Caenorhabditis elegans: one gene and its partners. The protein of the gene in region 1 interacts with the protein of each later gene in a pairwise test. Each region holds a gene or a part of one and is shown in the gene's direction. Other genes may lie near its edges. The genes, in order: app-1, T27A8.2 and cytb-5.1.

Region 1 (10,585 bases):
GTTGGTTCGGATTAGCATACACACGGGTGGCAGTAACTGGACAAAATGTGAGAGAACATGTTAATTAAGGAGACACAGACAATTGGCATATGGTATTATTGTGTAGTCTCTGTGGTGGTAAGAAACGTGATTACAAGTCGAAACCTTGGAAATTAGCGTTTGTTAATTGAAAAAATTGAGAGAGGATGGAGGGGAAAGATAGAAGAAGCCGCCCGGAAGAAATTGCACAACGCCAGCTGTTTTAGGATTCTCATCTCGTTAAATATTCCTTTATATTTCATTGAGAAAAATGAAAAGATTTTTTGAAAAATAAGATTTCAAGTGGGAACTATTTCAAAAGAAACTCAAATTTTGAAATTTGAGTTAGCAAAATTTTATTGAGATATCAGAAAAGTGACAATGTTCTACGGAAAGTCATCAATGCTCTACATAAAGCTGTGTACTGTTTGGCAGAAGACTGGAGCTCTGTTTAGATGACAAAGCGCTTCAATAACCTACCACCGGAATATTGCAAAGCTACAAAAATCTGAAAATGTGCAACAGAAAAAAGACTTTCAAGTGAACGCTGAATTGTTTAACTTTCATTAATCAAGTTAATTTAGTCATTATGCTTATTTCCAACTTATTCTCTTAGTTGAAATAATTGGCATATTACTATCTCTATCCTGTCACCACTTTCAAATGTTCATTGAATATTATATATATACATATATATATATATTCATTATTTTCGCTCCTCTCTCTTCTCATTTCCCATCATTCCTCTCTTTCATTAGATCCCAATTGAATTGAATCCTCCCTAATGCATTCCCCTCTCCCGCTTACTATAGCTCACCTGCGCAAATGCACATAATACTCACTCGATTCCGCTTATATACCTTCTGTCACAATAACAATAATAGTAGTTGCATGGTGTTTGGTTTTGGAAACACACATACTGAATTACGGGAGTTAAGAGTTTTATGGAACAATTGAAAAGAAATAATTCTGACATAGAGTTATTTCAATGTTTAATAGTGTTACAAAATAAATTCTGAAAATGTATTAGAAGAGATTTCTTTGCAGGAAGCGTTGAAAATTGGCAGATGATGAGTGTGGTCTGAAAATATGTTATATAATTTCAGACAGTTTTAGTAAACTCTCATTGAATAGAAATATTGCATTTCTAAAAAGTCAGTATCACAAAACTGTTCCAAAATACTTTTGTGTAAATTTCAGAATGAGGGGTAATAAAAAGCGACTTGAAAATCTTACCGCTGTGCTTTGGTTTCCCCAGGAAAGCTGACCCAAACATTAGTGTCCCATCTTGTTTCATCAATATTCACATAAAACATTGCAGATCGGCGACCATTTTGCCATCTAACACAGTACTTGTGTCTGGAAAAAAAATCATTTATCTCAGTATAAAGCAGTTTTTCAAACTTTGTGGCATTTGAAAACTAAATATTTATTTTATATTTTAGACAAACTAATTTTTTCCTCTAACTTCTAAATAAATTACATGTAGTTAGATAGCGAGGAGAGCGTTGAATTCTAAAAACTAATAACCAAAAACATTTTTCAGTAGGTGGTTATGCTTTAACACAGTTGCGGTGAGACTAAATTAACTTCAAAAGATCCACTGTTTTTGAAAATTTGGCAATCTACCAAAACTTCAACTGAAAGTTTTGAAAAATCTGAATATTTTCAGAGTGTTTAATTAGATTATTATTTGGTCATGCGTGGGTTTATACAGAGTCCCTACTGGCGATGATTAAATTTTTGAATTTTGAAAGTTGTTAAAATAAACGCATATGTACCTTTGAAGCATATTCAATGAGACAGTGCAAATGAATTGAACGACGTACTTACATGGCGCGTATGGTATACTCCACATCTTCAAGATTTTAATTAATTGAAATTAAATAAATGAAACTTTTCCCTACTTGATCAATCATTGCATTTATTGCTCTCTTGCCATCTGTTATCGGAGACCAGTTTTTGGGACGAATCGGTTGCTCAAGTGTTTTCTGGCGATGTTCTTTTGGTATTGTGATAACTTTTATTCTGAAATTGATAGTTGGTACTATGAAAATTTGAAAAACAAATTTTTTAATTTTGCTTGAAATTAAAACATAGTTTTTTTAAATGGCAAAAACAAGTAATTGCCACTTTTTGATTGTTGATTAAAAACTTCAAATATTTTCTCCTCCAATATTAAAAAACTAAACCTCGGAGTTGTAGTAGCTGTCGATGAAGATGAGTCACTTGGAGCATTACTGGGAAGCTTTTGTCTTGACAACTTTCGACGGACTTGTTCCACAGATTGGTCTAGATTTTTCAGAGTCTGAATAATAAAGTTATCAATTTTTTCTCAGGTTTTGAAATTTTGAGGGTCTGAAAACTGTTTGTAATTGTAATTTGGGGATCAATGTTAAATTTAACACTTAAGTAATAGTGTTCCGTGAGGAGAATGAAAAACCAAAACTGAACAGAGTTATAAAATGAATTATAAAATCATAGAAAATTAACGGAAGTCGATCTACCAGGTGTACTTCTTTCCAAAATTAGTTCCAGAAATAGAAATAAAAAGCGAACATTTCCAGAATTACGTAAAAGTTAATGCGAAATAGCGAAATATTGACCAAATTTAAATTTCTATCTCAATACAAGATTTGGTTCAAAAATCGGTTGAGCTAAATTTGATAGAAAATTGTTTGAAAAAGCACCGAGGCACAAAAAATTCAATTTTTTAAAGTTTTCTTACCTGTACATGCCTTAACGATGCAATGAATGATGCTGAAATTACAGCTCTTGCATATCTTCTACAATCCCGTAGATCTCCAGAACTTAAAGCTGAAGAATACATTCACTAGTAGTTCGAATTTTATATAGTATGCCTTTCGAATACTCCGTGAAATTCCCAGTGAACTGAACCATTAACCAATTTGACGTTTTTTTCTTTCGTTGGTTTTCTCTCCAAGACACCACAATTGTTAGTCATTTCTATCAAAATTTATGCTCGGATTTGCCGAAGATTCAAAAAATGACGACGAATAGACCAAAAATCAAAGTTGCATCTGTTATAAACCGAAAATATTTGGTGAGTTGGGATAAAAACATAGTTGTATTCAATAAGTTAAAAACAAATATTCCAGGCATTTAGAAAACTTGGAGAAGGTGGATGTGGAGTCATTTACGAAGTTGCGATGGTGAAGTGCCCAGGGAGAAGATTTGCGTGCAAGGTAATAATAGATTTTGACATTCTTTTAAATTACTACTTTCAGGCTGAAACTACCGTATTTGATGAGGATCCAACACTGCCAATGGAACACAAAATAATTTCAAAACTCAATGAAAAGAATTCTATCCACTGTGTGGAACTTATTGATAAAGGACAAAGCGACAACTATCAATTCATTGTTATGACACTTTTAGGACCATCACTTGATGCAATTCGAGCGACTCTTCCTACCAATAAATTCTCGACTTTTTCCACTTTAGTCATGGGAATTCAAGCATTGGATTCGATTAAAGAAATCCATGATATTGGATTTGTGCACCGAGACGTGAAGCCGGCGAACTTTGCGATAGGAGCACTTGGAACACCGAAACAACGACTTGTTCATGTTCTAGATTTCGGAATTTCTCGTCAATATTTGGTGAAAGATGGGGAGAATGGAGGATTGAGAATACGGAAACCAAGGAGAATTGTTCCATTTCGAGGTACTCTTAGATATTGTTCAGTGGCTGCTCAAGAAAGAAAAGAACAAGGAAGACATGATGATTTGTGGTCCTTGTTTTATATGATTGTCGAATTTGTGAAGGGATCACTGCCATGGTGAGTGGTGTTTTCATTTTTGAAGCTTCTGTAAAAATCTGGAAAAAAGTTTGAAGTAATATGAGCCCCACCGATAAAAATACAGTCCTAGTGTGTGCCTTTAAAGTGGCGTTTCGTGTTAAAAAAATCTTTAATCATTTTTTTTCAGGACGGGAATAATGGAAGAAGAGAAGGTGATTGTTATGAAAGAAGATGTCACGGAGCTATTCAATGGCCTTGAGTCCGAATGTGCAATGTTTGCTCAACACCTGTCAGTTCTTCGTTATCAAACGAATCCAGATTATGCACTTCTTCGAGATCTTCTCATGAATATTTTTGTTCGACGAAATTTCAATGCTCAAATGAAAGTTGATTGGGAGAAAGGTGGACGATATGAAAGCCATTTTGAGAAGAAAACTTCAACTTTGTAAGTTTTTAAATATTTTGAATATTATTAAGATAATTTGAATATGTTCAGGCCAGTTGTTATCGAGAAAGACATGACTGAAGTGGATCTGTCAAAGTTGCTGAATGTTCCGCAAAATGAGAGAAATATAACAATGGAAGAAATTATAGCTGCTGGTAAAACGACAGAGGAAGAGGGACTGAATACTGCTCAAGATGATACGATTGTTGAGGATGAAAATGGATTTTTGGTGAGATTTACGGCGAAAGTTGTTGTAGGTAGGCATGAGGTAGGCACGTAGATATGCAGATATGAGGTTGAGATCAGACCTATAGGCAGGCGCACGAGGGGTAGGCATGAGGAAGGCACAAAGTTAGGCAAGCAGAAAGTAGACAGGCAGGCATTAAGTTAGAACCAGGGAATGAATAATGAAGGCATGTATGAAGCCAGGCATAGGAAATGCAGTTTTGAGGTGCGCCTAGGCAGGTAGGTATGAGGTCAGAATAGGCATACGGGATCTGAGAATCAGGTAAGTGTGTGTTGCGTGTAGTTCTAATGCAAACGCGTAGGCAGGCATGGGGGAGCTCAATATTAATAATAAATCGTTATTAGGCAGGCATGCGGCAGGTAGATAGGCATGTAGGTAGGTGCCGTAGACAAGAGATATATTTGAAACATTCAGGGAAAACAAGAAGCCAAGCCGGCGACACCATCTGCTCGATCTGAAACCAGTAAGAAAGTGAAAAGGAGATATATTGCGAGAACACCATCGGCGCATAAGGTATAGAATACGTTATTCGACGTATTAAATTTTCCAATTTTCAGATTGAACAGATTGAAAAGAACTGGAAGAAGAAAGAGGAAGAAGCGAATAAAGAGAAGTTGCTGAAGAATGCACGGGCGGCACGAAGAGCCAAAGAAGATTTTATTGTTCCGGAGGATAATACGGTTCAAAAAAGAAAACTCGAGAGCACACAACTGTCGTCTGCAGTTTCCACGAAATCCACTAGAAGTATTGGAAAGAAGATTTTGCCGCCGAAATCATTTGAGCTTCATTGATAAATTTTATTTTTTAATTTTGTAGACACACAGACAGATGTAATCGTGCTAAAAATTACGATTTTGAAAAAAAACAATTTTTCTTTTTCTTAATTTTTTTGAATACGAAAGAATGAATTTCCAGACTGAAATTTTCATTATTCATTAATTTTCGCACGCGTAAATTTTTGGAGAGGAAATAAAAAACCGCGATGCGAGTTTGGGTTTTGCTGTTCACAGTTTGTTCAACAAATTTATTATGAGTATTTTTTAAAGGTTATTTTCTAAAATTCTAGACCTGAATTTCGAGCGAAACTCATTTTCAAATCTCCTCCTTTTTTGACCCATCAATAGAGCGCGCCTTCTCAGCTTTCGAGTCACCACCGATTAGAGGCCTGTGAGACCTCGTGTCATAAAAATTTCTGAAAAAAAGCGTGGATAATTCGTATCAGGACACGAATAAAGTTAATATTTTAAATGATCCACAGTGAAATTAACATTTTCATTGAAATTTTCGTCTTTTAATGATATTTCAAAACGTTTCCTTTGCGGTTTTCCAAGTTTCCACTTCTTGAGTCTAGAGATCTCGAGTCCGTAGATACTCTTCTCATTTTTTGGAACAGCGTTCGTTCTCGATTCGGCAGTTAATTTTTCATTTTAAAACATTTTTAGACTTCAAAAATAGTTATTTTTCAGTTTTCTTCTCAAAAAATTTCCACATCCTCTGTTGTTTTCATTCAATAGAATTCAGAGATGATTTTTGATTTCTGTATGTATAAAACCATTTGTGATTGCGTATTAAAACGATTGATCGACAATTTCGTCGTTGGTTTTATTCGTTATCAGCTCTAAAATTCGAGAAAAATGTGCAGACGATTAGACGCTTGGTTTTTAAATTTCTCTTTACAAGTTTAGCTTTAATTTTCTTTTTTTTTCAGATCGGGCAGAATTGGAGTGATGACAGCATTGGAAAAACTCGCAAAATTGAGATCCTTGTTCCATTCGGAACGGGTTCTCGCGCTCACTTCCAGCAAGCCGATGGTCGCGTATCTTCTCCCAAGCACTGACGCTCATCATGTTGGTTTTTAGGCTTCAAATAATCTTCTAAATGTTAATTTTCAGAGCGAATATCTAGCCGATTACGATTTTCGAGTGAAATTCCTGTCTGGTTTCAGTGGTTCCAATGCCTACGTTGTTGTTACCGATAGAGAAGCTCTCCTTTGGACTGATGGCCGATATTTCACTCAAGCCGGGAATCAGCTTGATTCCAACAGCTGGAAATTGATGAAACAAGGACAGCCCGATTCGATTACTGTCGTTGATTGGCTTGTGAGAGAGCTCGAGCGTGGATCCGTTATTGGATTTGATCCAACTCTGTCGACGTTCGACGCTGGTTCCAAGACATTTAAACGTCTGAAGGCAGCAGGTCTTCAACCAGTCTCGATTCCTGGAAATCTAGTCGACGAGTTCTGGACTGATCGGCCAAGACTCGCTGGTGAGCCAGTAAGTTGATAGATCTATACTGCGGGATTTAATGTTCCACTTTTCAGGTAGTCGTGCTCGATGTTGAAGACACTGGTCTTACAACTTCAAAAAAAGTCGAGAATCTTCGGGAGAAGCTGAAACAAAAAAAGTGCGACGCAGCTGTATTTACTCTTCTTGATGATGTTATGTGGCTTCTGAACATTAGAGGAAGTGATATCCCGTACAATCCTCTTGCATATTCATATCTCTTCGTGGCAATGCGCGAGATTCACGTATTTATCGACAATGAGAAACTCGATGAGAAATCTCGAGCCCATTTCCACAAATCGAATGTATCGATTCATCCATACGGAGAAGTCTATTCATGGATATCCAATTGGCTCAAGGCAAAAGAAGCGAGCAAAGAGCCTCACATGGTTTATCTCACACCAGAAACTAATTACGCTATTGGAAGCATTATTGGCGAAGAGAACTCGATGGTTGACACTTCCCTGGTTCAGGTAATTCCATGAATTTCTTGAAATTTTTGAAATTTAATCTTTTTCAGACCGCCAAGGCCACCAAAAACGATCATGAAATGCAAGGAATGAGAAACAGTCATGTAAGAATGGCTACAGCATCGTTTAGGATATAATTTAATTCTTTCTAGCTTCGTGATAGTGCTGCTCTTGTTGAGTTCCTTTGCTGGCTCGAAAAGGAGTTGCTCTCTGGAAAAAGATACACTGAAATCGAGTTAGCTGATAAGATAGACCATTTGAGAAGTCTTCAAGACAAATATGTTACTTTGAGGTTCGTTTGTTAAATATTTAAAACTACATTTAATTTATATTTATTTTCAGTTTTGATACCATATCAGCTGTCGGAGATCACGCAGCACTTCCCCATTACAAGCCTCTCGGAGAAAGTGGCAATCGTAAGGCTGCAGCCAATCAGGTGTTCCTCCTCGATTCTGGAGCTCATTATGGAGATGGAACAACCGATGTGACGAGAACTGTGTGGTACACGAACCCACCGAAAGAGTTCATTCTGCACAATACTCTTGTATTGAAGGGACACATTAATTTGGCACGGGCCAAGTTCCCTGATGGTATCTATGGTTCTCGTTTGGACACGCTGACTCGTGATGCTTTATGGAAGCTTGGTCTCGATTTTGAACATGGTACTGGACACGGTGTTGGACACTACCTTAACGTACACGAAGGACCGAGTAAGACGAAAACAGTAAATGTAACTGTTTGAATATTTATTTTCAGTCGGAATCGGTCATCGTAGTGTTCCAACCGGTGGAGAGCTTCATGCCAGCCAAGTGCTTACCATTGAGCCAGGATTCTATGCCAAGGAGAAGTACGGAATTCGAATTGAAAACTGTTACGAAACAGTTGAAGCTGTTGTCATGTCTAAAGCTCAGAACTTCTTGACATTCAAGGTATACCCAGATCCCAGGAACTTTATAAACTTATTAATTTCAGTCTCTCACTTTGGTGCCTATTCAAACTTCGATCGTCGACAAGTCTCTTCTGATTGAAGAGGAAATCAATTGGCTCAATCAATACCACGCTCGGGTTCTGAAGGAAGTTGGTGAACATCTTCAGAAACGCGGAAAAACGGATGAGCTGAAATGGCTCGCAGAAGCCTGTAAACCAATCTAAATATCTGGAACAATTACAACATGTTTTATATTATTTTAACCGGTCAACGTCTTGTTGAGCAAATTTGTGCTCAATTAACTATTTTTTATCACAATTTCTGGATCCTGGTGTAAAACTTATTCTCCCCGAATGATTCATCCGTATTCCCCTTTTTTTCTCCTGTCGTTCTTTCTCGCTTTTCCGTAGATTTCCTGTACTAATACTTGAGAATGAATCTTTTTCTTTTGTTAGTTGGAAAATTGAAACATAAATAACAATGCCGGCTAGCAGGTCTTAACAACTGTAAGCTAGAATGTTTGGTTGACGACATTTTGCTGTCGGATTTTGACATCGGTGCAGAGATTCAAGCCAAAGTGCTTACAAGTGAGCCAGGATTGGATGTAAGGTTAATAACGAATTTGAATTGAAAACTGTTGCGAAACTGATGAAGCTGTTGTGAACTGCATTCTCATAGATCCAAGATTCTCGCTTTTAACTTCTCCTCGATTTCCTGTATTTACAAATTCTTGAAAATGAATAATTTTTATTTGTTGATTCGTAAACTGAAATATTTAAAAAAAAGAAACAAAAATACGGACCAACGGGTCTTAACAAGTAAACTAGAATACGGTTTGATGACACAGATGAAAAATAATTAAAGCTTGAATATCAAGCACTAGTTGGCCGGCTTCATATAGCTGCCGCTCGCGGGAAATTTGAATTTTTGCGGAGATCTGTCCACGAATGGCTTCTTATTCTTATCGGCGATCCATGACGCTGGAATTGTGGAGATGCCCGGGGATGATTCCGCATTTTCAAGCCATTGATCTGTGCAGCATAGTCCCATGCAATCCCTATCCTCACAGAACAGCTTCGACATTGAGCTTTCTTTTGGTGGCAGCAACTGAAAATAGGATTTCGTTTTTGAAAAAGAGTAATATAAATTTATACCACAGCTGTTTCGATGTTACTCCAATCCTTTGGCTGGCCATTAAAAAAGCTGTTCTGGTAGATCTTCCGTTTTCCTGTATCAAATGATTTGATGTATGCACGACCCGTTTTCCTGATGTGCGCGATTCTCCGGGCAACATCTTCTTCGGTCTGAAAAAACAAGATACACTGGATGTGTATGAGAAAAATTGCTCACCTTGGCACCTTCAAATCGAACTTCAAGGATTGGAGTTGGGACATTCGCGAACTCCTGCGGCAATTTTCTCACAGTCAGATAATTCGTCTTCAGAGCTCTCATACTTCCTGTGTCAATCTCGATATACAAATCGAGTCCGGGTTGACTTTTGTGAGGACGAATACCACAGACATGACGAGCTCTTCGGAACATTGTACCCTCTTCCTGAAACTCCTGGAGGCACAAAATAACATTGACTCTCCAAAAATATGGCTTCATCGGCTTCCCATCTTCTTGTTTTCCTGATCTTTTGGGGTCTTTGTCGGTTCCAAACGTATCTCTTTGAAGATGTGATAGTTTGTTGTACCAAGCCAAGAATCGAGCGGAAAAATCTTTCAGCATTTGCTCCTGATCGTGTTGTTTAGGGATCACATACGCATGAAGATTTTTGTTGCTGCAGAGGACTTTTCCGATTTCCATCTCTCCCTTTTCGTAATCGAAAACATTCACATGAGGTATCAATGCAGTCAGCGCATTTGAAATCTCTTTGGGCACGATGGAGGCTACATGCTCACAGTTCGATGGTGTTTTGAAATCCTCGTCGAGATTGGAGATTGTTGCGCTCAGGAAATTATTGTTTCCAACCGAAAATTCTGGGTTCGTTCTGTCCGGGCGCTCATCACATTTCGTTTCGAAGTTCATGAAACGGCCAGTACAAGATAGCGATCTTCGCGAAGGAGTAGGGATGAATCCGAGCTGTCTGTGCTCCCGAACGAATTGTGATGTGGCCGTTTTCTTCTTGAGCACCTGCAAATTATGTTTATTAGTGATTGTTCATTGTTGTATATATCACCTTTAACTTCTTCAGTTCGGCGGTCATTTCCGTGGTAGCGATGGTGGTTCCCTGGAATTATTTTTTTGAGAACCACATCTCTGAAGGATGATATTCAACTATACCATGAAATCGACGGCATAGTGAGTTTCGGGGAGCTCTCTCAATTCACTACCATTGCCATAGTAGGTGTGAAGATTGTTGATGAATTGGGCGTCGCATCGGCTAGTTTTATCGGCAATCTCTTGCCGATACTTCTTGAACACCGGCT
Region 2 (10,585 bases), on another chromosome or scaffold:
CACATTAAGTATTTCAATTTCGATTTTAGATATTTTCGAAACGAATCCCAAATCGCTCCTATCTCATTTATTTGCCAATGATGCCAATCACTTCAAAAGTGTTATTGGAAATATTGTATTGCACTCAAATTACAAAAACATCGGAGCATGCAGAAATGGAACAGACAAAACGAATGTAACTATATAATTTTTCTCATTTCTCGAATTTTTGGTCCAGTATTTCAGAATTGTACTTGGGTTAGCAGCGCTGGACTGTGAATATATCGCACCGAAGGGGAGAGTAGTGGTAGTTGCACTGGCGATGGTGGCCAATAAAATGTTCACGAACTCCAAAAGTTCTGGTCAATTCGACACTCATATGTGTGCTGCGTTGAAATATATTTTGAATACGATCAACTATCTAAGTGACAAGAGATATACCACCATTAAAGGACACGTACGTTAATATGAGGCTTTATCAATACTGAATTGGAAATTCAGGAGATCATCTATCACTTGCCAGAAATTAATTCTCTGTTTTAGAACACTGGACCACTTTCCACTTTCAGTTTTGAGAGTTTTTACAATTTCACTATGTGTGGTTACTCTAGCTCTATCACCCGATATTTTCTTCAGAATGCAGCAACTAAGTTAGTTCCATATAACAAATGACTAATTACCTACATCATGTTAAGATTTCTGCTTCACGCTAACATCCGAAGAGAAATTGCTCGGAGAGCACCAACTGATCGCTCACGGAATATGAGGGAGTTCCTAGCTGTCACTCCAGTTCCTAGCTGTCACTCCTTCAAATAGAAAAAGTTCGACATTTTCCAAAAAAAAATTTAAAGTTTTTTATTTACAGGCAATGTTTGTGAATCCTCAAGCACAGTTGTTCTCACTAGAAGCTGCTGTGAAAGCAGACGACGTCGTAGAACTACCTAATCGCAAGTGGTTCATGTTGTCAAAAGCTATTGATCCAGAGAAAGTGAGCCGTTGGACTGCTGATACCTTCAAGGTTAATGCACAATCATTATGCACGCATGTGTATGACCAGGTAAGATTTTTTTAGGTTGAAATATAGACTGAAAGTCGTAATAAATTTACAGCTGGAGCTTGTGGATCCATATATGGGCTGTTATGGTATCTCCGAAAACGCTACAATCTACATTCCAATCGCACAACAGTTTTTCCAACGTTTCCGTGGTTTGAACAAAAGGCTATGCTATTGTGAAAATTATCTATATTTATAGAGTTCGCTGTGGCGGGATTTTCCATGCTTGATAAGGAAACAGTCAGGAACTACGTGGAAAGTCTTCTTCGGGATATGATGAAAAACAAATTGTAAGCTTCTACCAAGATTCATTAGATCTACGTGTTTGAAAATTTATAGGGACAGAGTGCGTCGTGTCTACAAACTCACACACGGGGAAGATTCGATTCGAGTGAAGACAAGATGGATGAAGGAGGAGCTAGCGAAGGAACACAGTGATATTTTTTTCCCGTGAGTTTTACAATATTTTTTCAAAATTTAAAAGAAAAAATACCTGCAAGAAAGATATTATCTTTCATCCTTGATTTTATTTCCAACGTATCCATCGAAATTTCCGTTTCCAAATCCATCGAAATTTCCGCTTCCAAATCCATCTCGTTTCGATTAACTTGTTCTACCTAACTCGAGGCTGTCTCTCCAGATGGATCTGAAAATTTTGATCGGAGAGGACCGCTAGTACCTTTCATTTCCACTAACCGCTCATATTTCAACTGCTATGAAACTTTCGACGAGTATACTACATGGCTTTGCGACAAAATGTTTCTACAAAATTACAAATCTGCTTTTCAAAAAAAAATTCAACTTTTCAGAACTGAATTTGATATAAAAATGTAGAAAAAGTTCGTTCCAACGGGAAATTATTTATTTTCGGTGAAATTTTTGAAAAATAGTGCCGGAAAAACCGGAAAACGGTAACTTTCCGGCAATACTTGAGATTTTTCTTAGATTTTTCAGAAAAATAAATATAATTTCCAGATGGAACGAACTTTTTTTCATTTCTATTTCAACTTTAGCTCAGAAATGTTAAATTATCAAATTGAGAAGCAGGTTTGCACGTTTGCCGATAATTTTTCCCGCAAAGCTTTGTAGTATACAAGCTCCAACCATAGCCATCCAGCGGTCTGTAAATAGAGTTAATATTAGCATCAATCTAGAAGCAGTAGAGTAGGAACACTTACCTTTGAGAGCCATCAAGTACTTGGTCTCTTCAAGCCGATCAATCCAACAACGGCAGAAAGCCAGCGTGGCGAAATTCTTGTCGATCAATTTGAGAAGACCCTTCGATTTTTGCAAGCGAAGTGGAATTTTCTCGTCGGCGAGCTCAAAATTCTTCATATAATGCGATGTTTCCATATCATCATGAAAATATCCTTTTCCCGTAGATCCGAACGTCTCAATCGCGTAGATCTCGTTCTCCTCCATCCTCGCCTGTTCACCGCCCTTCACAATTGGAACGGTCTTTCCAGTGTGAATACGGCATTGAGCGATCGACTGTCCGTTTAGACTGCCAATCGGCTTCACCTCATTCGAGTTTCCATGGAATTCGCATTTCGATTCCGTATTCTTTGATTGTGCCGTCTGTGGCTCTTTCCATTGGGTCTGTAAAAAGTTTTGATCGGAGAGAATCATCAGTTCTTGAGCTTCACAAACCGCAAAATCCCACATCGTCCTCCCTTCACTCTGCGATCGCTGAAGTACCAGAGAAGAATCTTTAAAAAAAAATCTCTGAGTGAAAGTGAAAACGAAGATAAAAAGATAAGACAGAGAAGACAAAGAAACTTGAGAAATGATGTTACTGGGCGTTTAATTTCACACGAATAAATGATTTTATCCCAAAATTACCACTATATCTTCGTGTTTATCGATATATAGTGGACAAAGGGAGCCAAACAAATTTATCAGCGTGAAAAAAAATATAAACTGTATATTAGTGAAAGAAATTCTGTCCAACTCGCAAAATTAAAATCATAATGACGAGAAAATATGCTCAAAATGAATGATTTTGCAAAGAAATGAGTTGGCACGATTTTTCGCGCGGTCCGCAATAGTTTGTCGGTGTCACGTACAATTGTCGACCGTAACCTTTAAATCTTTAAGTCTAGAAGACAAATGTGACAAGTCGACTGGGAAATTTGATAAAAAGTTAAAAACATATTAAATATTGCTCACAGAAAAAATTGAACTTGAATTTGAAGGAAATTGAAGAATTGATGTGTGCTGATGAATTTTTCCGTGGAATTCATACAGTAATATAAAAAATATAATTTTCATAACATCGAATTTAGAATTTTCTTCAGTTTAAAATTTGAACAGTTGAAATAGTGAAAAAGCGAAATAATATAAACATTTGAAAATAGTTCGTGATAAAATTGAATACCAATTCCATTTCAGGGATGAGCTCATTTTCGTCGAAAGTCCAGAAGGCTCGGCTGATTTGGAAAACATGGGGGATTTGACGGAGAAGGCTGGCGGCGAGGGAACGTCTGGAGCCCCAGCTTCATCATGAGCTGTTTTTGTTGATTAATTAATATTGCAACTAATTATTGGTTTGTTACTTTTCTTATTAATTTCTTTTATTACTGCTTTTTTTGTTTGTTGTTCAGATGAAGTTATTTTTGTTACGAATTCTGCTACAATCAACCAAAATTATTTGTTCTGGGGCTTTCATGAGCCAAAAATGCTTCATGTCTTTCCGGCCGCTACATTTGGACCCATTTCTACCGTACTCATGCCCGTTCGCAACGCACGCGTGAAGCATGCTTCCTTTCGCAATGCACGCGTGAAGCATGCTTGCTTTCGCTACGCGCGCCTGACGCATGCGTGACGCGCGTCTTCGCTTGGTCCTCTCAGACGCGTGAGCGAAGCGTGTGAGACGCGCCACGCATGAGCCGCGAATCACCTGTGAGGGTTCAATCCCCTCACCGAACCAAGGTGGTTCTGAGTTGCTCACATGCTCAGATAAGTGGAAGTTCGGAAGATTGATGATCAAAAAGGTGGTGTTGAATCTTATTGTTTCATTCAACATTGACAAAAGATCGAAAAATGTTTTTTTCATTTTCATAGAATTGTCTTCAACTAGGCTTATACTCTTTTCACTCTCTTTTTCTGCTTTAGTTTCCCACAGCGTTTGTCAGAAATAACAAAGTTTGTATGATTTTTTTCCAATTTTTCCGGAAGAAATTTATGTTGGTAGGAATGTTTTGAACTGAAGACAAAAACTCCTGTAGCGCGACCAAAAACGAATTTCTTGACCCAGAAACGTACCCATAATACTAAAAAAAAATTAGCAACCATTTTTAAAAAAATTCTCCCAAAATTCCGAAATTTTTATTTTTGTTTTTTTTGTGCCTGTATATACCTGTTGAAATTGGAATTCAAGCCAAAAACCCCTGTAGCGCGACCAAAAACGAATTTCTTGACCCAGAAACGTACCCATAATACTAAAAAAAAATTAGCAAACCATTCTCATAGAAACTCTCCAAAAATTTCAAAATTTTTTTTTTGCAAAAAAGTGCAGTCATATGTATGTAAAAAAATGAATTGAAGACAAAAACCCCTGTAGCGCGACCAAAAACGAATTTCTTGACCCAGAAACGAACCCATAATACTAAAAAAAAAATTAGCAATCCATTTTCATAGAAATTCTCCCAAAATTCCGAAATTTTTATTTTTGTTTTTTGTGCCTGTAAATACCTGTTGAAATTGGAATACAAGACAAAAACCCCTGTAGCGCGAACAAAAACGAATTTCTTGACCCAGAAACGTACCCATAATACTTTTAAAAAAATTAGCAATCCATTTTCATAGAAATTCTCCCAAAATTCCAAAATTTTTATTTTTGTTTTTTTGTGCCTGTTGAAATTGTTGATATTGAGGAAACCTGTTGAAATTGGAATTCAAGACAAAAACCCCTATAGCGCGACCAAAAACGAATTTCTTGACCCAGAAACGTAATACTAAAAAAAATTAGCAATCCATTTTCATAGAAATTCTCCTAAAATTCCAAAATTTTTTTTTTGCAAAAAAGTGCAATCATATGTATGTAAAAAAATGAATTGAAGACAAAAACCCCTCTAGCGCGGCTAGAATATAACTTGTAGGTCCAGAAACTTATCCATAATCTTTTAAAAAATTTAGAATCCAAATCTATGGAAACCCTACCAAAATTCCAAAATTTTTGTGAAAAAACTTCTGTCGAATACCATAGGAATTCTTCTAAACTTTGAAAATTTTCATTTTTGTTTTTTGCGCCTATATTTGGATTACCGGGGGGAGTCCCATAGTTATTGGCGGGACATTCAAATTTTCTAAGAAAAAATTTAGGCGAGAAACTCAAATTTCCTGAGAAAAAAAAACATTTTGGCAGGAAATTCAAAGATTCATAGTCCGGAACTAGATTTGCTTTCTTTCCTTGTTAGTAGTGCGGCATTTCTTTTTGCTGCAAGATATGCCGTTGTTGTTCTGCTTATTTCTGGAAAAAATTTCATTTTAATATTTTTGTGAAAATTTTCTGTTTTTCCATGTTTTTCTATGAATAACTTTTATGGAAATTTTTATGAATTGTTTAGCTTTAACAATCCTTCTAACAGTTAGGAAATGACTAAATATTATAATGGATCTTTTAAAAATTTGTGGAATTTTTTTTTATTTCGGGTCTGATCGTGCGCCAATTTTGGAGAAACCAAAACACTGTTGCTTGTTTGAATCCCAACAATATTAAAATAGGATTACTGGAAACGTGAGTCAAATTTAAAACTGAAGGTAACTTTTTTTTTGAATATTTTTATTATGATATTTGGACATTTTTAAATTTTAATGTGAACGAGTTTTAATCTTTTCCCACAGGCCGTTGTCCATCTTCAATTAAAGTTTTTTTTCATCTTTACAATCATCAATTTTATAAAACCTTCAACTATGCTCAGATATAGCCGACTCAAACTTTTCATAATTTCGAAATTCAATTTTTTTTCAATTTTTTTGTTTCCTTTTGATTTGGTCATTACGAGTTCGTTGTCGTGTCAAGATTTGACCTACGACAAGTTGGTGTTGCCTGCAATGCGTGAGTCGCGCGACAGGTCTGCCCTCGTCTTCCGCACACTATTATCGATCGATGGTTTATGGCCGTTTGCTGACATTTGAATGTGCCATTCTCTCATATCCACAGCTATACTTTTTTGTGGTTTTTTTTTTGTTATTTTTCATGTAATTTTCGCCTAACTGAATCTGACGTCTGCACGATTTAAATTTTTTCCCACTCGGCAAGTTGCCGCAATATAAGATCCAAAAAAACAAGACATTTCTGTATTTCCTTTATTATGTACGTGGCAAATAAATTTGAGAACCTTCAACTAACTAAGTAAATTTTCATTTTCAGCTACCATGACGTATTTCACTCACGAAATGAACCAAATTATGGGGCTTCATCATCCGGAAATGGCGATGCCCAAGTTCAAAATGGTCGCCCTGGTCAGTGCTGCGATGGAAGAAGCGGATGACGTGTTTCCGGAGATTGAAGTAGTTGTCAAGTGGATCACCGACTTGTTCCCGTATTACAAAGTGTTTCACGATATGTACAAATGGGAGTTTGTTAATCATGTGGCCTGGGTTCTGGACACCGAACTGTGCTTTCGTCGAGAAAGGTGAGTTTTGTGAAGTTTGTAGAAATATTTTTAACAAAAATTTGAAACATTTCAAATTCTTTTTCAAATATTATCGGAAACTGAATTTTGTTGTCAGATTTGCGTGTAGCGTTTAAAAATTGGTTTTCATATAATTTTCAACAAATTCAAGTAAATCCAGAATGTAATTACAACAAAAAATAAAAATAAAGTTCTGCTAAAAAATATCAGATAACAAGTTATATAGCCAAATCATACAATTGCTGTTCATATAATTTAGACATAAGAACCAGAACTGTGCGGCAACCGGCAACCAAGTTGCCGGTTGCCAAAAATTTGCCGAAATTTCGGCAACCAAAATTTGCCGGTTGCCAAAATTTTTTGGGTTTGGCAACTTCGGCAATTGCCGGTTGCCGCACAGCCCTGATAAGAACCCCACAATTTCTCCAAAAATTTCACCAAAATTTCTTTTTATCAGTTTTTTGGAAAAACAAAAATATGTGAATACTCATAAAAACTGTATTTTTTTGGTTTATAAATTTTGCTAAATTTAATCACTAGCACTTACTTAAGAATAACTCCAAAAAAAACTTAAGAAATAACTCCAAAAACTATTCGTATATGTTTTTTTATACTTTCAATTTGCAGAGACGTGAGATCTGGACTATGGGCTTATGAAGACGGCAACAAGGATATTCTGGATGTTGAGGAGGAGTTTCGAAAGGATATAGACGAGTTGAAGCAATATGTGGAGCATCAGGTGGAAATGGTATGTTGCCATGGAAATTTCAGTCATATTATATTAAAAATTGTTTTGCAGACGGATCTTGCTGGACGGATGTATTCGATGTCCTCAACCGGGTGATCTCTTGACAAGTTTTTCATAAAAATATTTCATTTATACATTAATTCAACTTATTCACTTTTTAGATTTTATTGAACCAATTCTGTATATAAAAAAGTTTCCAGTTCAAAACATTCCTACCAACATAAATTTCTTCCGGAAAAATTGGAAAAAAATCATACAAACTTTGTTATTTCTGACAAACGCTGTGGGAAACTAAAGCAGAAAAAGAGAGTGAAAAGAGTATAAGCCTAGTTGAAGACAATTCTATGAAAATGAAAAAAACATTTTTCGATCTTTTGTCAATGTTGAATGAAACAATAAGATTCAACACCACCTTTTTGATCATCAATCTTCCGAACTTCCACTTATCTGAGCATGTGAGCAACTCAGAACCACCTTGGTTCGGTGAGGGGATTGAACCCTCGACTGTTGACTCCACGGTCGAGTGCTTTACCACACTTGACCATGTTGCCAGCTCAGGATGAGTCACTGATTGCGTTGAGTTGGCGCCATGAAAACGTGGCGCGGTGGCGTAGAATGGCGCAATTTGTGCTGAAAAATGAACACTAAATGTGGGTAAAGTATATATTTCTAATATCAGAATTTTGCACTGATTTCAATGGGCAGCTTCAAATTGTTCAATTTTCAATCTAGCAGAAATTGGGACTTTTGCCAAAAAAAAAAATAAATCGTCAAATTCTATTTGTAAACCACGTTAAACATTATTAACTGTGAAAATGGTAAATGGTCCCATATCAGGGTGTCCCACAAGAAGATGATCTATAACGAAGTATCATAATATATCAATAAATCCAATTGACAACAGGTACTTTTGGTACACCCCTTTTGGTTGAGAAAAGATGGGGCGCAAAAAATAAAGTCATCGAATAAAAAAGTGAGACTGGCACCATTTATAAAAGTGCCGTAGCACGGCGGACAATTTGCAAAATAATTTCCAACAGCTGCAACACAGACAAATTAATATGACTTGAGGTTTTAGCAAAACTCTGTTTTTTTTTCGATACTGAGCTGTCATCAAAACTGAATTGCATTGTTTCAGATATCTATTTCAAAAGTTATTTGAGATAAGTTCAAGTCCGAGTCGGATTTAAGTTTGAAACCACTAGCTAGTCCACCTTCAAACTTTAATTTAGATCAAAAATCTTTTAAAAACAATTTTTGTGGCCACTCGCGCAGGTAGCCATCCTCCCTGCTGCTAAATTCGCTTTTAGGCGGTCACAGATATGGGAAGGGGCATCTGACTTTTAAATATAAAGTGCCATGACTCGTTTTTTTTTTTCAAATTTGCCGCAGGGAGTTGCACATTCTGTGGATAATCAATATGGTCGCTGTGGGGGGTTGTCCATATGGCCAGGGGTAAAAATCGGATAAGATGGTGCTCGTTTTTACCCGTTAAAATTTAGAAAAAAAGCAATATTTTGAAATGCTAAATTGTGTTTATTAAAACCGGTTAAACAAGACAAGGAGTGTAGCAAAAAGATAGTCTGTGAAAGCTAGCGAAACAATATAAAGCAATGTGTGTGTGTGTGTGTGTGTGAAGCCAAATCATTTTTTCCCGCCGAACAAATTTGACGTGTTCTGAAATCAAACTGGATTGCATGTAATGTAAATTTACACAAGTCATACCATCGATGAAAAGTTTTCAAACTTTTTAATGATTTCGGAAACAGATGAACAGGATGTATACGTATTCTCAACCTGAAAGTTGATTCAATTTGGGTAAGCTATAAATTATTTTTTGAATTTAGTGGGCATTATAGTTACAGACCAGGGGTGTGCGGCAAATCTCAAAATTTGCCGAGCTCGGTAAATTCGGCAAATCTCTTTTTCCAATATTTGCCGAGCTCGGCAAACGGCAAATTCGGCTATAAAAAATGTAGAAAAAAAATTTTGGTCGACTTCCGTTAGTGGCAAAAACTGAGTAATTGTCACTTTTAGACTGTAAATAAAAAATTTTCAAAAAAAAAATTGAAAAGTTTTATTATGATATTCGGTCATGTTGGGACCATAATAGTGGTTATTAACAATTTTCCCACTGGCGCTACTCCACTTTTAAACTAGAAATTTCCTTACATAATCGCAACTTGAAAATTTTGAAAGCTCATAGAACACCTATAATATTACCTTATTGTCACTCACAACACTTATCAATCCATTTGAAACTGATGTGTCCTCCTTCTTTTTGCGCTCCATTATGATCCAAACCATATTTTTCGGCTCTGGTGGCTCAGGTCCATAGATAAGCGGACCTGGCATAATCTCGTTATGAAATAGATCTCTCAGAAAAAAAATACGGGAAACGGCAATATGAAAGGAATATAAAAGGTGGAAGGTGATACATAACCATTTGTATGCAAATTTTCACAGAGCTCGGTTTTGTATAGGACAATAAAGTAAAAAAGAAACACGGTTTCGAATTCTTTTCAGTTGATAAAATGTGATAGGGGATTGGGGGTGGACAAGAGAAGACAGACAAGTTTGAAAAAAGAATCTAGAGGTTACAGTTGGAATAAAACAAAATCACCCTGCTGACGCAATTTTTGGAAGAAAAATCGAATAATAAAACGTCATACTTGTTTGTTTTTTTAAACCTTTTTTTTTTGAAAATCTGAAACAAGTATTTTTCCGCCGACTCAACTCGGTAACTCAAAAAAATATAACTTAAAAAACAATAATTTCCAGAATGCTTTTGAAATGTTTGCCTGGCACAATCAAAATCATGAGCATAGGAGGTCAGACTCTTTTTATTTTAAAGGTGGAGTAGCGCCAGTAGAGATTTTGTCTAAATACACTTATTGTGATCCGAAATGACCAAATATCATAATAAAACACTTCAAAAAATTTCCGGCATTTCATAATTTCCAGTCAAAGTTTTGGCAAATTTTCAAAATTTTGAAAAATAAGAGCTTTTGAAGAAATCCAAAGCAATGTCACGTGTTCTGACCCCTACAATGTTTTAATGCAAATAATTAAAACAAAATGACAGTATAAAGAATGTAGAAAAACAATTTTTTTTGGTCGACTTCCAAAATTATGAGTGGCAAAAACTGAGTAATTGTCACCTTT
Region 3 (10,585 bases), on another chromosome or scaffold:
CAACTAGGATGAACCGAAACAAAAACAACAAGGTGAGTGCAATGAAATTATTTTTGAAAAAATTAAATTGTTATACTGATATCCCGTGATTAAAGTCTCAATTTCAGAAGGGTCGCCAAGCTCAATTGGTCCAGGTGGCTCAGCGGACCGTAAATTCTACAATAACTGGAAAGCCATTGAGCACTTTCCACGAGGTTATTCTGCATCAACTTTCAATGGTGGGCTATCATCGTGTGCGGTATTTCTCATTGTCTGGATATGACATGGTATGAAAATTATTCATGATTGATAATTAGATATGAATGTTTTATTACAGATTGTTGGTGGAATAGCTTGGGCAGTCAGCATTTTGGTGCCGGAGCCAAATGGACATCCTTGGAAATTTCGAGAAAGCTTGCCTGATGATAAGAAGAAGACTGCTAGTGAAAAGAGGTGAGTATTGGTTAAAATTAATTTTTTTGAATTCTCTAATTGTGATAAATTGTAACATAGTTAAAGGTGGAGTAGCGCCAGTGGGGATATTGTTGAAAACTACTTCAATGATGCCAAAATGACCAAATATCATAATAAAACTTTTCAAAATTTTTTGAATTTTCTTTATTTACTGTCAAAAAGTGTTACGCAGTTTTGGCATTCATAATTTTGGAAGTCGGCAAAAAATGTTTTTCTACATTTTTTCTACTGTAATTTCATTTTATATATTTTTTTTTGAAACATTGTGGTTGTCGAAACATGCGACATTGCTTTGGATTTCCCCAAAAGCTCATATTTTTCAAAATTTAGGCAATTTTCCAAAACTATGACCGGAAACTATGAAAAATCTAAAAGTTTTTGGAGTGTTTTATTATTATATTTAGTCGATTGGAACTTTTATAAGTGTATTAGACAAATTCCCAATAATGGTGCTACTCCACTTAAAAAAATAATAATATAGATTTTGAATTTCCATACTTAAATGTTCTTTTTAGTTTTATGTTGATTATTTCTAATGTTTTCTTGGACCTAAACATAAAAAATTTTGTTACAGAAGCGAAATCGCTCAAATTATATATGCTCTTCAAAAAATCAACTGCCCGTTTGATGCAACTGAACAAGAATTCCTGAATGTGGACTCATCGGTTCTGGTGGATATCATCACTTGGGTGTTACAACGAATCAGTCGCCAAACCATGGATATGGATCGTTTCAAGTGTTTCATGGCCTGCTTCAATATGAAATATGAAGATGAAGCCGCCGCAGCACTGGACTTCATATCTTCATTGCGTCGTCCAAATGCTAATCAATACACCGAATCAGCACGAATTAAACTGTTCGACAATGCAATTCTTCGTGATATGAAAGCTGATAGCAGAATTATTATTGCTGAGTATCTTCAGTATGGACAAACTGGCGTCAAGAAGTATCCATCATTTGTTCCTTCTGACGAAGAAGGAAGGCACAAAACTGGATTAAGCGAGATTTCCGAGGCACAATATGAGAAGCAGCGCCAAGATCTCAAAAAGTTGAGTAACAAAATTTATTCTGCATCTTCGGATACCACCAAACAGTTTGCGGACAAACTTTTCTCAGCAATCGACAACTTACATCTGGCTGAAAACATTATTGAACTGGAGCAACGATTCAAAGAGGAGGCGGCTCTCTACTATGCCATGTATGCCCGGTTTTCGGAATTGGAAGCACAGTTAAGTGCCGCAACTAAGTACACTTCTTTTTTGTGAGTTTATTAATTGCACTGTTTCACTTAAATGACTAATGTTTCAGGACTTCTTTCGAGGTCGAGAGAATCACCGACGTCGTCGCCACAACGATTAGTCGGGCATCAATGTTTCACACAGATTTTTCTCAAGAGCTTGAATTAGCTGTGGAAGTTGAGAAGACGCTTGCTGCAAATAAAGATCAAAATGGTGCATTTAAGAAGTATTGTCCATTTCGTAGAGAAAAATTGGAAAATCACCGGAAGGAAAGGTTGATTCTGCAGAAGGTTATTGACGGATCTTTGTATAGTATTTCCCAATAAATTGTTTCAGAAAGCTCAAATCGCCCAGAGCATTGAGCAAGCTGTCAGAAAAGCCTTTGAGGAGTATATTGAAGTTCGCCAGAAAAGAGAGCAAGGTTCGATGGCCGACAACATTGACGATGATCCATTCAGCATGCTCAACGAAATCGATCACACAATTGCGAGCGACATAAATGAAATTTTGTCAACAGTCAACAAGATGATCGGTCATGTGAATTCAATGCCTCAACCAAAGGAGTAAGTGTTTAAATTGATACATACTTCTGATATTATAAGTTTGCAAACATTTTTTGAAAAAAAGTTTTATTTAGATGTTTGGTCATTTTGGCACCATAGGAGAGGCTGCCCCACTTACCAAATTTTTTTTTCAGAAGGACCGAGTACGACTACCGTGTTGCATACATTGGCTACACAAGCGATGCTTGCATGTTCTTGTCGGATTGGCTGGGAAAGGCAAAGTTCCTGAAAGATCAACGCAGAAACTTGTGTGAGAGAAATCTCCGTCTAAGCTTTGACACGAAGAAAATGTGCCATCTGGTGAAGTGCGCTTCTCGTGAAAATGCCAAAGTAAGAATACATTTTGAAACCTTACAAATGAAAGTCGGAAATTTCAGTATCATGCCCTGAGCGACTTGCTGTTCCAGAAGAGAAAATATATGAGCACCTGGGAACAAGATCTTTTCAAAAAAGCGGGTGCTGGTAACAACTCCTCGGAACTCCCAAAAAGTTGGGAATTGGACTATGCAGCGTTCAAGAAGTAGACACACAAATCAAAAAAAAACATTCCATAATTCTTTCTTTTCGCTGCTTTATTTGCCATTTTGCAACTTGTGTTCATACTATGTATACGATTTCCCCATCACAACAATGATTTCTCATATCTCATGATTTCCCTTCCACCATTGTCACTGAAATTTTTCGATTGTCGCACCCCCGCCCACTCGCCACGTAATACCCGGATTTTATTAATAAAATATTGATTTATTGAATGAATCTAGTTGGTTTTTTTTTTGAAATTCTGTGAGCACATTTCTGTGAGTATATATGAATAATTACAAAAAAGACAAACTAATTTCAGATTCCATAGAGAAAATAAGATTACGAAAAAGCTCTTTTGCTCGGAACTTTTTGGAAATACAAAAAAGTGGAATGAATATTTGAGATAACAATAGTTTTAACGCATGTTGTTACATTATTAAAGGTGGAGTACCGAAATTTGGGAAATTTTTTTAAATTACTCCAAATTTTCCCTAATTCCGAATATCTAAATGAAAAAATTCAAAAAAATTTCGCTGATTTTATATTTGAGCTTGAAATCGCGACTTCTTTTTCGTCCCCATCAGCTTTTTCAAATCCGCGCCGAAATAAATTATCCTTGGAGCGCGTTTGCCTCATTTAATTTTATGCATATTTTTAATTAGTTTTCAGCTATTTTCGTTCATTTGTTTTGAAAAATATATTCTTTCCTGCGAATTGAACACTTTATTATCAAAAAATGAACGAAAATAGCTGAAAAACTGAAAAAGAAAGTAAAAATATAAGGAGAAAATTAAATGAGGCAAAAGCGCTCCAAGGATAATTTATTTTGGCGCAAATTTGAAAAAGCTCATGGGGACGCAAATGAAAATTGCGATTTTAAGCCCAAATACGAAATCAGGGGAACATTTGGAGCCATTCAAAAATATTTCCCAGATATCGGTACTCCGCCTATAAGGTATGTTTTTTAAAGACGTTACACTGTGGAAAAATTGTTCTTTAAGAGCAATAGCCAACTTTGAATAGTTTCAAATAAAATGTTTCTTTAGATTTTCAACTCAAAAATTTTCGACGATACGTTCCATTTTGCAAAATAATGTTTCGTCGTATTACTCACATTTCCTCCAAAATTGAAAATGAATTTAACATGTAGTCAATATGACCAACAAACTACTTTGTCTATTTTCTCCTCAACGTTAAATTCAATCTGTACAATCTTTCCTTATCAAATACACAACCACCTTTGATCACTCTCCTACTCTTTTTCTCTCTTGAAAATTTACTTTGACTACGTGTGTTCCGAAGACTACAAACCATAGATTCTCTTCTCTAGCATTCTCTAGCCCCATTTGACCATACTGGCGAACCTACTTTGGTCTGGTGCGAGAGCGTATAGCAACTGGTATAAAAGGCTACGCAGCCCTAGACTTATTTTCATTTCGTTGCATATCGATCGATAGGAACGGATCCACGTTGCCTGCGTAGCCTGCGTACATTAATCCCTTGGCGGTCACATCTCGCCCTTCATCTCATGCACCTTCCCCTTTTCTTGTTCTATCCAGGTCATCCCAATTTCTGTTTCTCTCCAAAGTTGGAATGAATAGACGCAACTATTTGTGAAATCAACAAGTAGATAGTTTTATTTTTCAGCTTTAAATTAAGTAAAAACTAAAACATTAAAACTACCGTTACTTATAGAGTTGGATTTATTTTTTCTATTTGCCTTTTTAAACACTTCCACTAAATTTGAAAATTGAAGCTTTTTTTTTAAATTTATTTTTAAGATTCTGATATAAACAGTTGTTTTGAGATGATTCGTTTATTATACAGTTTTTAGTAGAAATATAAATGTACGTTTTTTTCGACTAATTTGTTTCTTTCTATTTGAAGCAACGTCTTTCAAAATATTGAGATGTTAGCTTTACGTTTTTAGAATTAAAATAAGGACTCTTTTTCACGTGGTGTCATGCTTTCCCATCGCGGTTTGATCTACAAAAAAGCGGGAAATTGTTTCCCAATAAAATGCGACGTCAGCAACTTTGTGAAATCACTTGAGAAGTCTGTTTCTAAATTCCCGCAATTCTTGTAGATCTGCGTAGATCAAACCGGAATGGGACACTCTGACACAACGTTTTTTTGACAATAATGAAGTATGACAATTTGAATCGACTAGTCAACAGTCTGAAACCACTACAAACCGAACAAAACTGCAGGTGTTTTTTTTAAATTCAACTTTCAAAAAATATGAATTCTTGAATAATTGTCTGTGATCCGCAGGAATCCCCCGAATTCCTGAAGAACGGATTGACTAAGTAACTAACTAACTAAGTAAGTAAGTAAGTAAGTTCATCATTTTTCATAGAATCTCTACTTTTAAACGTTTTGGTTATTATACACATGTTTCGAAATCACAAAACTAACATTTCCAAAGTGTTCCCAAAATGTGCTTTATGCTCATGTTCTGTTGTCATGACATCAGGTTAGAGTATAGTCTCATTGCCTATTGATCATCGCGAGGCCACCCTCCCAGGCACACTACTCCTTTTGCCCAATTCTCTCGTCCATTTCTTCTCCGCCGTTATTATTTGTTTGTTCAAATTGTCTCTCTGCTCTCTTTCCCATGTTTCTCTATTTCTCCTTTCAACTTGGTCAGCTATTTTTCTCTCTTCATCCTTGACACAATTGCTGCTGTCTTTTCTGTCTTGTATTGCAGGCCTGTATTTTAATAACATAATTTAATATGTTTTTTATTGCCATACTTCTCATATCTATATATTTTTTAATAACACGAAATGATTTTCAGAATGGCCGATCTTAAGCAAATCACCCTTAAGGAAATTGCCGAGCACAACACAAACAAATCAGCATGGCTTGTAATTGGAAACAAGGTGTTTGATGTGACCAAGTTCTTGGACGAGGTAAGATTATGTTCTGATATTTAGAAATCCGTACTCGAAGCACGTAGGCAGACATAAACCACACTTTACGGTACGAATAACACAAACGCAGATTCATTGTTGATCAATAGAAAGAAATTGACATCTATGAAAAATGAAAAGGAATTAAATTTTTTCTCTGCAATTGATAGGATTTCTTGCTCAAAAATTTTTAGCATCAACTTTATCAAAAATAGCCGTTACCGTCTCTTTCAAATATGTATTCTTATTTTATCGTTAAAACAAAATTTACTGTTTGATACAATCAAAACCATGACGATTAAGATATCGAAATACTTGAAAACAAATAGGGGCAAAAATTCCCGAATTTTTTGTAGATCAAACCGTAATGGGACAGGCTGGCACCACGTGGCGCATCAAAACTAAAAATTAATAATGTTTTTTTTTCAGCATCCGGGAGGTTGCGAGGTCCTTCTTGAGCAGGCTGGAAGTGATGGAACTGAGGCATTCGAGGATGTTGGGCACTCCACTGACGCTAGGCATATGAAGGACGAGTATTTGATCGGAGAAGTCGTTGCAGTAAGTTTTTGCCTTTTTTGCTTATAATTTTCATTCATTTGTTTTGTGTTCCAGTCTGAGAGAAAAACCTACTCGTATGACAAGAAGCAATGGAAGTCTACCACCGAACAGGATAACAAGCAGAGAGGAGGGTAAGTAGGGTTATACTTTTATTTTGAATTTGAACTTTTTTAAAAATGATTTTAAAAGTTAACTTTTGACTAAACGCTGCATCTCAGCTCAGAATAATAATATTTTTTCAGAGAGTCAATGCAAACCGACAACATTGTTTACTTCGCCCTTCTTGCTGTCATTGTTGCTCTTGTTTATTATCTTATCGCTGCGTAATCACTGTTGATCCACTATTTTCGCCATGATTTTGAAAACTGGGGCATTATCTTACTTAAAAAAAACTGATTTTTTTTTCATTGTTATCCAATAAATGTCATTTTGTGATTTTATTATCGAAAATAAATACATCACTGTGATTAACATATGTACACTGAAAAGGGACTTTAATATTTTGTTTTCATTTCGATCGAAATGATAATGATTGAATGGAAGCTGGTGTTGAAGAGGACGTTTTTGACGATGGAGGTATGTTTGGAACTTCGTGGGTTACTGGATCATTGATCCAAAGATTCTGAAATTAAACAGCTTTTATGTTAGCTAACTTGGAATTAGTTACTGTGGAAATATCTTTCCTCCAAAGCAACACTGCTTCGTCGGCGCCAAACTCTCCAGAGCAGGTAAGAATGTGGTGCTCGCTGAAAAAAATTTCTTGGATATGCCATAAGTTCCTTGTCATGAAGTGAGTGAATGTTGCGTGAACGAAAAAAAATCTTGAAGTCGTTTATATTTTTCTATAACACTTACTTAGTTAACTAATTAACTAAGTTAGTAAAAACATTACCCAATATTTAGCTTCAATTTCTCAATTCAATTTTGTAAAAAAATCGCTTTAACAATTGTTGAAAAAAAAACTTTGTTCACAAATTGCGTCATTCCAACTGTGTGAACTCTTGAAACTTTGCTCACCCGCTAGAAATTATCTTTCTGACGGAAGTCTCCGATATTTTCAATTTCATGAACAAGGACAACCTGACGCTGGAGACCCTGCAAAAAAAACCATGTTACTCTCTTATTGATAGTACATTATAATGAGGCCATACACTGCACTGTCCTCTACATCGTTCGATGTTTCTTTATCAGCACTTTCTGAAAACAAAAAGCGATCATTAAACTGTGCGGTAAAATATTGAGATGTACCTGGGACTGGGACAATGTACGGATCATCAAATGTTAAATCTTTCCGCTGAAGATTAAGTTGTTTTGATGGAGTGGCTGAAACTATGCCGGATGCTTTAATTTCTTGTCAATACGAATTCAATATTTAAATTCCAAACTAACCAAATCGTTTATGAGACGTTATTGCAACTCTTCTTCTTGATCGTTCTTCATCCGAGTATAGCTCAAAAGTGTCGTCATATTCCATTGAAGTACAACTGGAATTCGTTGAACTGAAGAATCTGCAATTACAAAATGAATTTGGTCAGAAGTTTTTGAATAAAAACCTATTGTCCCTGAATCTCGGAGAATCTTTTTCTTTCTTCACTGACAGAAAGTTTTCATCGCATTTTTCAATTAACTCATTGGGCTCGGAGCTGAAAACAGAAACCGCCGAATCCGCACTAAATCCCTTTTTCATGGGAGATCTCAAAGTTTTCGATGAAGAGCTGTTTAATCTGCTGAAAAATAGTTGTGTTTTCTAATTTTTTGTATGGTTTTACCTGTATGTGCTGCCCGGAAAATCTACATCTTCTGGATTTTGTTGGAATGAAGCAACTGGAACTATAATGTTTCAGAATTATGTTTTGCAATAGAATTTCTCACTGCTATATTGGTGTGTTTCTCTGTCTATGGAAATGCTAACCCGACTTGCGCGCTTTTCAGCACAAAAGATTGGTACAGTTTCATTATCATCACTTTCATCATTATTCTCAATAAGAGAACCGAGTCTTTGAGATCTTGCAGACGATCCACGCCGACTCGGCCGTTTTTCACCAGGAAATCTGAAAGAAAACACTGTAAATTTAAATTTGAAATTAAAATCAAAACCTTTTCAGCTTATATTTTACTTCCTCCTTTCCTGTTTCATTTTCAACGTTATAAATAAAAACGTATCCATCAGAAGTGCCCAACCATAACGTTTCATCATTAAACAGCATTGATTCTACATAGTTACTATTTTCTGTGTCTGATAGTGATGGTTTTCTGAAAAACTTTCCAATATTCATTGTTATTGACAACTGAAATAACCGTGTTTTGTGGTCGAAAGAAATATCATACAACAAATTGCAGGCGGTGTCATGCCATAGTTGAATTAATGTTGAGTGGTTGGTAGTTAGAAAAATACCAAACGGTGATTCGGTCATACAGGTGATCTGAGAAGGCGATAGATTTTTTTTTCATTGGTCCGATTATTGAATATATTTTGAAAAGTGGGGTACCGAAATCTGGGAAATATTTTAAAATGACTCCAAGTTTTCCCATGATTCCGAATAATTAAGCAAGCGCGCTCCAACGATAATTTATTTCGGCACGCATTTGAAAAAGCTCGTGGGTGCACAAATGAAAATCGCGATTTTAAGCTCAAATATAAAATCAAGGAAATTCGGAATCAGGGGAAAATTTGGAGTCAATTAAAAATATTTCTCAGATTTCGGTACCCCACCTTTAACTACACTGGCAACAGAAATTATGAGTATAAAAACTTTTTTGATTTGATTAGGTTTTCAGTTTTTGTGTTTTTTTAAGTTCAATGAGTTCATCTCATTTATATTTTCACGTGAACTCACTTTATCAAAATAAATCACACCCGATCCAACATTAGACGATGCCACATGGGTGGTCGATAGCGTCGTCAAAGATTGAGCATCGAGGGTTATTAACTTGCAAGCAGTTGCTACAACCAATGTATCGTCATGAATAACAGCGTTTGTCAACGGAGAGGAACTGAGTGGCATGTGCCACATTTGGACACTGGTTGGCCAACGCTCTCCAGCGTTTTCAAAGACTGTGAGAATACCATTGGCGAGCCCAGCAAACAGAGTGTTCTCTTGGTGAATAAGAAAAGTTGCCACGTCGGGAAGTTTGAGCTCCCATAAAATGCTCCTACAATTTTTTGATCGAAAATAATGGTTAATCACAATTTTTATTAAATAGTAATTATACACTAGTATTTGCAATAAATTAAGTTAACATACCACTCATTTTCACTGTTTACGTGTGCTGCAATTAAATACCCTGATATCAAGCTCACATAGGCCATATCTTTCCGTACCATGCAAATTGACATTACACGACAGTCGAACTAAACACATCATCATATATAATATAGAGAAACTCTCATAGAATGACTTACTTCAACATCAATATTCTTCATACATGCTTTGTCCTTGACTACTTTAATTCCAGCAATTTTCCCCATTAAATGATGACCGGAAACTATGAATCCTAAACATTAGTCTTTGAATTTTGCTTCAGCTGTGATATCTTACCAGTGTTTGGAGTGAATGTGTCGATGAATATATTTGAGATTAGCTTTTCATTAGTCAAATTATTAGCAATGCTTTTCTGCAAATTGTATAATTGCGAGGGGATGGTTAATAAGAACTTGGGCTGGCATATCGGGCGTCCGGTCGTCCGGTTTTGATAATTTCGAAAATTTCCCAATTCACTACGGCCGACAGTTTTTGAGTTTAGTTACTCATTATAAAGTTATTTGAGGGGCGAGTAGCTCATTCGGTAGGGGTGGCCGCTAGCAATCTGGAGGTCACGAGTTCAAGTCCGGCCTCACCCCCTAGGTTCACCCAGCCTCTATTGAGAGGTGGAGCAATCCACGACTATTTTATCGGCCACAGTCCCCGGCTAGGACGAGGCTTAAATTATAGCCCAGTGGGATCACCACCAGGCAGTGTAGCTGACTCCCAGATCCGCAGTGCATAGCGCTTGAAGAACGGATTGTCATTTAATCCTTTTTAAAAAAATAGTGAGTTGCCAAATTCGAATCGGCCGCCGTGAAAACCTACCCATAGAAAAATTTTCAAAGTTCCAAAAACCGATATGCCAGCCCTAATCAAAACTGAATAACAAACCACAAATTCATTAGCTCGCCTCATTTTCTTCTCTAATCGTTCTGCCAGCAAATTTACGTATTGAAGTTGCATATTTTTCAATTCAATTCTTGTTGGCAAATTGGGTATCCGGAATGCCATCTAAAATTTCTAGTTAGAAGTAGTTCAAATGTATATAATTTACATTAACTATTGCCTCTTCGTCAAATGCCAACTTTGTT

Evidence for each region.
Region 2: the proteins of app-1 (region 1) and T27A8.2 interact in a two-hybrid assay, tested with the Caenorhabditis elegans proteins (one large-scale study listed by BioGRID).
Region 3: the proteins of app-1 (region 1) and cytb-5.1 interact in a two-hybrid assay, tested with the Caenorhabditis elegans proteins (one large-scale study listed by BioGRID).

The regions. Positions count from the first base shown.
Region 1 is NC_003279.8:4,962,686-4,973,270, reverse strand, and holds app-1 (Xaa-Pro aminopeptidase app-1), read left to right. Parts: upstream 1-6,181; 5' UTR 6,182-6,200; coding exon 6,201-6,320; intron 6,321-6,365; coding exon 6,366-6,746; intron 6,747-6,793; coding exon 6,794-7,228; intron 7,229-7,275; coding exon 7,276-7,329; intron 7,330-7,377; coding exon 7,378-7,517; intron 7,518-7,567; coding exon 7,568-7,935; intron 7,936-7,981; coding exon 7,982-8,154; intron 8,155-8,197; coding exon 8,198-8,377; 3' UTR 8,378-8,604; downstream 8,605-10,585. Other genes in the region: W03G9.9 (uncharacterized protein), read right to left, coding at 1,045-1,099, 1,255-1,377, 1,800-1,876, 1,926-2,046, 2,211-2,326, 2,747-2,848; W03G9.5 (Protein kinase domain-containing protein), read left to right, coding at 3,026-3,082, 3,138-3,224, 3,267-3,820, 3,969-4,226, 4,278-4,455, 4,888-4,986, 5,031-5,264; Protein pid-4, read right to left, coding at 9,033-9,260, 9,308-9,457, 9,504-10,289, 10,336-10,386, 10,440-10,585. UniProt on the Caenorhabditis elegans protein: Catalyzes the removal of a penultimate prolyl residue from the N-termini of peptides, such as Arg-Pro-Pro. Has activity towards the flp-9 neuropeptide KPSFVRF-amide.
Region 2 is NC_003284.9:16,054,762-16,065,346, reverse strand, and holds T27A8.2 (Fork-head domain-containing protein), read left to right. Parts: upstream 1-6,401; 5' UTR 6,402-6,412; coding exon 6,413-6,672; intron 6,673-7,299; coding exon 7,300-7,420; intron 7,421-7,471; coding exon 7,472-7,516; 3' UTR 7,517-7,671; downstream 7,672-10,585. Other genes in the region: Putative uncharacterized protein T27A8.3, read right to left, coding at 2,057-2,154, 2,212-2,662; T27A8.7 (uncharacterized protein), read right to left, coding at 9,065-9,097, 9,146-9,217, 9,644-9,727.
Region 3 is NC_003284.9:13,996,348-14,006,932, forward strand, and holds cytb-5.1 (Cytochrome b5), read left to right. Parts: upstream 1-5,576; 5' UTR 5,577-5,577; coding exon 5,578-5,691; intron 5,692-6,120; coding exon 6,121-6,249; intron 6,250-6,303; coding exon 6,304-6,380; intron 6,381-6,491; coding exon 6,492-6,576; 3' UTR 6,577-6,733; downstream 6,734-10,585. Other genes in the region: C31E10.6 (CCDC93 N-terminal domain-containing protein), read left to right, coding at 9-32, 108-266, 317-432, 1,028-1,714, 1,762-1,981, 2,028-2,254, 2,389-2,584, 2,632-2,778; tbc-19 (TBC1 domain family member 2B), read right to left, coding at 6,758-6,871, 6,917-6,995, 7,267-7,344, 7,401-7,446, 7,498-7,572, 7,639-7,757, 7,803-7,976, 8,019-8,073 and 9 more.